Linked DNA regions of Schizosaccharomyces pombe. The protein of the gene in region 1 purifies or fractionates together with the protein of each later gene. This does not show direct contact. Each region holds a gene or a part of one and is shown on either strand. Other genes may lie near its edges.

Evidence for each region.
Region 2: the proteins of dni2 (region 1) and dni1 purify together in Schizosaccharomyces pombe (affinity purification with western blotting, with the first as the bait; one study listed by BioGRID). This does not show direct contact.

What each region holds. Positions count from the first base shown.
Region 1 is NC_003423.3:1,182,557-1,186,023, forward strand, and holds dni2 (claudin-like protein Dni2), read left to right. Parts: upstream 1-1,870; coding exon 1,871-2,559; intron 2,560-2,710; coding exon 2,711-2,768; downstream 2,769-3,467. Other genes in the region: protein Trm734, read left to right, coding at 1-235, 289-1,548; SPOM_SPBC4.02C (rRNA methyltransferase), read right to left, coding at 3,061-3,467.
Region 2 is NC_003424.3:2,995,350-2,998,891, reverse strand, and holds dni1 (tetraspan protein, claudin Dni1), read right to left. Parts: upstream 1,440-3,542; coding exon 735-1,439; downstream 1-734. Other genes in the region: rrg8 (protein Rgg8), read right to left, coding at 1,834-2,438, 2,489-2,588; rpe1 (ribulose phosphate 3-epimerase), read left to right, coding at 3,122-3,158, 3,204-3,542. UniProt on the Schizosaccharomyces pombe protein: Cell membrane protein which plays a relevant role in coordinating membrane organization and cell wall remodeling during mating.

The DNA.
Region 1 (3,467 bases):
ATCGCTGGCTTTGTACAATATTGGTGAAAGCAACTACCTTTCTGTATGGAGGAGAATTCATGAATTTGATGCAATTTCATCCATTCACATCAAGTCGTCAAAACGTGATTACCTCTTAATTCAAACAGTCGGACGTGATGGTTATGTCAATTTATTTTCAATTCCGAGGGTAGAAAAAAGTGCTGTTCCTCAGGAGCTGTGTTCGAAAAAATGTTGTGATGGTATACTAAGCGGGGTGAGTATTATCTTTAAGAATATACGGTTCATGGTTCAGCTAACATATGCTAGGGTTTGTGTAAAAAATTAAAAAATGGAAAGGAAAATCAATGGGTTTGGGGTTTTCATGCATCAAATTTTTTTTTAAGGGATGAGACAAATGAAACTAATGTTTTCTTTATTGATTGTGGAGGTAGTCATCGTCCATGGGCTTTTTCAATGGAGATGGACATTCAAAGTTTTGCATCTTATAGAGCAAATCAACTTTATATTTATAGCACTGCTTTAAATCTTTTGCAAAGAAATTCTGTATTACAAAATGGTTTGCATGGGCGTGAGATTCGAGCAATGGATTTCAATCCTTCAGGGGATCTTTTATTATCAGGATCTGAAGATACTAAAGTAACCCTGCTTGAGTTTCAGAGTAATGGAAACATAATTCCTCTGAATTCTGTCAAGTTTCATAATTCAGGAATCCAATCGCTGACCTGGTTTAGCGATGATATTTTATTTTCCACTGGTGGTCTTGAAGAGTTAAATGTTTATAGGCTAATACAAAAGCCAGAGGCATATCTGAAACGGATCGTTCATGAAAAACTCTGCAAACCAAATAAAAGTAACAAGACTTACGATGGGGATCTTCGAATAACTGACATTTCTGTTGTAAAGGCAACCCATCTGGGTGAAAGAGTGTTATGGATTAATACTGTACAGTCCGATTCGACTATCAAAGCATTCACTTATAACGTAGATACGAAGCAGCTAAATTGTATAAAAAGTTGGAAATATAAGACAGTTTGTTTGGTTTTTGCCGAGGCTGTTATTTTCGGGTCTCATTTATTGTTGGTGGTTGCTTCGACTGATGGTAATGTTGCTATTTGGAACACATTTTGGAGGGATCCTCAAATTGAGCCATTAATAATTTGGATAAAAACAGTGCATCAATTTTGTGTTAAGTCATTAAATATTAGCAGGGATCAAGATGTGTTAACGATTTCTACGGGTGGTGATGATGGTGCAATTTCTCGATCTATACTTTTGTTAGAACAAATAAGTGAAAATTCAGTAGTAGTCAATTCTTTACATAACTACTTTTTTGCTGAAGCTCATGCTTCCAGTGTTACAGGTGTTTTATCAATTACCAAAGAGCTTTTGCTGAGTGTATCCATTGACCAAAGGATATTACTATGGAAAGTCGAGGGTGATTCATTGAAACCGATCCTGGAAAGATATACTCACGTAGCTGATGTGGGTGGCATGATCCGAAATAATGATTTTTTGATAATTTACGGAATTGGTTGCGAAGTTTTTAGACTGGGTTCTTTACGATGATTATTTGCTCAATAATGTCTACTACTCGCCTATTCATTCAGTTTACTCTTATACACTTCAAGGGACCTATCTTTTCATTTATCATGACGATGGTTTAAAAATAATAAATAATTGATTTGATTGAAAGGCGGCACAGCATTTATCGGTATTAAGTATGTGTAGTACTCATAATTTCTTTGTCCTCGAAGACAAAGAAACATAACAGTTACGTGTCAAAAATTTCTTTGTTTCAAAGTATTATAATAGACTTACATTCCATAATAGTTCTTCTATCCCTAAACTAATTTTGCTAAAGTAAACAATTTAAAATTACGGTTTAAGAATGGAAAGAGGAACTAGTAAATTCAGCTGGATTGGACTTGTTGCAAGAATATACAACTATATTCCTCATCCTAGTATTTTTTCGAATGCTATTTTAGGAATTGCATGGCTTTTTTTAATATTTTTATGTTGCAGCTGCTTAACGAAATCATCTATTTTTGCGAGATTACTAAGAGTAAAGAATGAAACAACCACCGTAGACGTCGGTTTCTTTGGAGTGTGTGATCAAGCTATTAATTCAACGTCTCGAGTTTGCCATGAGCTTCGAAATTGGGATCAAACAACTGGTGGTTTAGCATATGAAACTTCGAGATTTGCGTGGCTTCAAGTTCATCCTGTTCTCCTCGCGATTGTTGTTGTATTTTCAACACTATCCATTGTTTTGACTATTTTAAAGTACTTGGCTCCTGCATACATACGCCAATGGTCAATAAGTTGTTTAACTACTAGTACAGCCGCCTGTTTGCTTTTAGCACTCCAAATGGCTTTAGCTCATATTTCGGCTAATTCATATGCTGTAGGAATGAATTTAACTGGGAAAGCTACAGCAAAATTTGGGGTAGCTGCAGCAGTTTTTGGGTGGATTTCCAGTGGATTCTTTTTGCTATTTTCGCTAATACATTTGGGACTTTGGACTATTGAACGAAACAAGCAAAAGTTATTTGAAGAAACATCTCTCTCATTTAGCTTGTAATTATTACGAAAAGAATGTTGGACGACATTGAAATGACTACTATTAAGTAAAATCGCACTTATGATACTCTTTAAACGTATATGACAGATACCCTTTTGACTTTTTTAAAACTATAACTAAATTTCATTTAATTAACACATAAAACAGCATTACTACTAAATTAAGATTAATTGAAACACAATACTTCATTTGCAAAGACTATTAAACAAACATAAATAAGATTTTGTAAACCATATTACTAATTTGAGCAAAAATGTATTGAGAATTAGCTTTTAATGAATCATAAACCATTAAATATAAATTAACTAATGTTGAAAACAGACAATCTAAAATTGCAAATGTTACGAACCAAACGATCAGATGTATATGCCTAAGATTGGTAATCTAATTATAATATATTGAAAGTGGGAGACTTAAATAAAAAAAAGAGAAAAGAAAAGAAAAGTAGCATAACTTAATAAAGGATATTTTTGAAAAGGGATGGAAAATACTCAACTTTACTTGCGTTTTGTTGGACCAGTCATAGGAGAAGCACGACCAGCAGTCAAATCATCATCGGAATATTTCAACGACGATACATAAGGTCGTTTGTATCGAATGTCATATGTACATTCTTTTCTGATATTTGTACGAAGAATCCATCGCTCGGAAGGTGCTAATGTCTTCCACTGCTGAGCTCCAATATCTCCAATCTCCGATTTTACAATACCAGTTGACATGGACACGTATAATATAGTGCCATAAAGAGAAGGGATATCGGCGACATCAATTTCGTGTATTTTTTCACAGTCATATCCTTCTGCAGCCTCAGCACGCACCGTCCAGTACTCGTCACGATATCTTCCAATCGCCGTAACAATCCACAAGCGGCCAGGGCTACTATTAAAAGACGTATCTGGAGGAT
Region 2 (3,542 bases), on another chromosome or scaffold:
ACAAATTTTTTAAAAAATGAAATGCTTCTGGAAAAACGGTAAACGATAGTTTAAAAGTATCTGATCAACATTCATCATTATGCTTAAGACGCTACATTCTACTCCGAAGTATAGGGTTGATCTATCATTACAAAAATTTCGTTTATTGATGGTAGGAACTAACGCAAAAGGGAGTTAGAGTGTGTAATTGCTTTACTGAATAATAATCAAGGCAGAAATCATTTAATATCTCTTTTAATTTCTTTCTATCAGCTACGATTGTAAGATACGAAAAAACTGTTACAGAAGTATACAGTTGATCAGATTTATGCAAAAAATCAATTGAAGAATGTATAATTTGTAAAGATGCGTATGTATATAGGTTCTAAATAAAAAGACTATGGAAAGAGAATGTATATGATTGTTTTAATCGATATTAGTCATTGATAATGAAATATTAAACAGCTTTATCTTGACTTGAATATATGAGCTTTTGACATGAAAGTTTCAAGTGCGGTAAGTAGAAATGAGTGCAAAAGAGAAATGAAGTAAAGTGCAGTGTGAAAACATATACATAAATAAACCAAGATGAGATTAATCGTAAAAAGAGGCGTTAAGAAAATCATAAAAAAAGCGGAACGTGAAAAAACGTAAAAACAAAAAACAAGTACAGATGAATACAGTTGCCATAATGTAATATAACAAGGTGAGAAAGGTCATATCTTCTCAAAACAATAATAGTTGAGGCGCATAATTTAATACTTTGTTGTTGAGGATTTGCTAGAAAAGGATGAACTAGGGGTAAGGACTTTGCTTTTTTCCAGTATCGTCTTACGAATCTTCTTGGTTCTTGAAGTAACCAAAAGAATAATAGAATCCGTGATACCTGTTAATGTCACAAGTCCCATAGAACACCATAAAAAGATCATAGCCTTTTTGCCTAGAGATGCAGTAACTCGATTTTGTGTTCCATTTCCAACAGCCATCACAAAAGAGGAGACAGCAACGTGAGCAAACAAAGCAGTTACTAGTATACTAAAAAAGGAGAAAAAAGAAAGGCTTATACGAATGTTTCTCAGGAATTCCAAACGCCCTATTAAGGGAAGGCTGGAAACAACACCCATAAGAAATGAAACACCGCATACGCAAAATGAAAAGACAATCATCCAAGGGTGAACTTCATTGATTAGAAATTTAGACCTTACATCCGTTAAGCTAATGGAAGTCAACCCAGGACAACCAGTAAATTGAGGTTTGCAGATCAGCGTCGCATTAGCAGAAAGTACACACATGTTAAAATACCCAACGTTAATTTGGGCTACGTTAGTTGCAAGAGAAAACAACTGGAATTTCGAGGTGGTACTAGATTGGCAACCTGTCATTACTAGTGCAAGTAAAATCCATGCAGCTAATGTGCAAAGAGTTCCAGTTCCTTGTACAACTGAATGAAGAAACAGCATGGTGATTAAATGTAGATGTTTGTTTGTCCTTGATACAAAAACTCTTTTCGTCAACTGGTTTTTTTGAATGAATAGGTTGAATGTTTTTTAAAAAAAGGTAAATTATTTGACGTTCGTGAAAGCCTTCAGTAAGCAAAAATATAGGCAAATCCTGAAGTAAAATTAAGGAGATTTAATCACAACAGAATTATCTCAAATGGCTTTTTGCGATGCTATGAAGGGAAGTAGCTTGAAAAGACGAACAAGGAAGATCCAAGCCAGGTTTTAAAGTAAACAAAAAAATTATTAATGACATAATATATTTCTAAGCTTTCTTTCAAAAATCTGCTTTTTTCATTGTCTTCGTGTTTTCTTTGTTCCCGAGAACAAAGAGTTCGTCAATGGTCATTCGACTCTATGAGGAATACGCAGCGGGCATATCTTTGAGAAAAAAAAGTTTCCATAGCAAAAGCCCCAAGGTATGATGTTTCTTGTCGCAAGGAACAAAAAAATATTTAGATCCCACTGGTAGCGTATGACTCAATTGCGATTTTAAAAAGGGCTCGGGCAGTATTTGTAACAACGATATAAACGATTGACGAGGATAGAGTTTTCTAAAAGAGAGAAACTTTTTCAATTGATTAATTTCTTCTAAATTCCATTGCACCCATATGCCACCATTCGAAATGTTAGGTCTCCTTAGACAATCTTGTAAAATTTTAATATCATTACAATGTAAATGATTCTGAGTTGAAGTTTCTTTTAATGAGGATATTTCTTTTAACAAAGAGTCCTGTAATGACTCAAGTATGTATCTTTTTATATCAGGACAATTCAAATTATTTAATTCCATGTTCCAGCGCTTGAAAATGCGCTTTGACGGCGGTTGCAAGTATCTATCCGATAATAAGCAGTATAAAGAAACATGTTTATTATGTAAATGGTTTTTTCCTTCTAATGGCAACAAACAAAATTTTCGAGGATTTGTATCCTTCCTTGCAGGAAACTTCGCTAATAGCTCTATATTGTCAGTAAGCCGAACATTAAAACTAACTAAAAAAGAAGATTACCTCTGGGAAATAAAAAGTGCGTTGCCAAGTCTTGTCTTAAAGGAGAGCTTAGGATGCTTATCAAAGGATCATTTTTCGAAATAATTTTTTTTATTGTCATTGTGAATACTTTGCAGATGTAGTAAATAGTATGGATCAGAAATAAACTCCCCACCCCAATCCTAACCAATTTGACTTCTAAATTAGGTTGTAGGATGACTTGTGATATACTTTTTCTTACTAAGCTGTGAAGCGTTGCATATAAAAAATAAGCATCATACTTTTTGGTCAGAATTAGTATGGTAAGCCGAGTTCAACTATTGAGACCTATTTACTATGAAAGACAATCTAATTAAAATTTCAGAAGCTTAAAATCATAAATATTATAAGTCTTATTTTTTATTAGGCATTTCACCTATTGACCGATTTGTACAGTACGACTGTTTCATGCTGCTTACCGACATATAAACTTTTCTATTTTTCATAAACATATCACATTTAACCTTCAAATACACTTATAATGAGGAGTATTTAGCGGTCACTTGATAGTACTGATAAAATTAACTTTACATCAGCTCCACCGAAACCTCACTTTACTATATACCAAATACTCTTCCTCAAGGACTCAAAAAATTTTGTATTTAGGACTCAAAAATGGTACAGGCAAAAATTGCTCCGTCTTTGTTAGCAGGTACGAATATTTTGAGTGTTTGATTCAAGTATTAACACACGTTAGGCGACTTTGCCAATCTTGAAAAAGAGGTTGGCCGTATGCTTAAATATGGTAGCGATTGGTTACACGTAGATGTTATGGACGCACAGTTTGTTCCTAACCTGACCATCGGACCCATTGTTGTGAAAGCTATGCGTAACCATTACACCAAGGAGGAGGCCTTTTTCGATTGTCATTTGATGGTTATTGAACCCGAAAGATATATTGATCAGTTGGCAGATGCTGGAGCCAGTCTATTTTGCTTTCATTATGAAGCCACAGAGAAGCATGAAGAAATTATCAGCCGTGCTCACGAGAAGGGTATGTTGGTAGGTTGTGCTTTGAAACCCAAAACACCAGTGG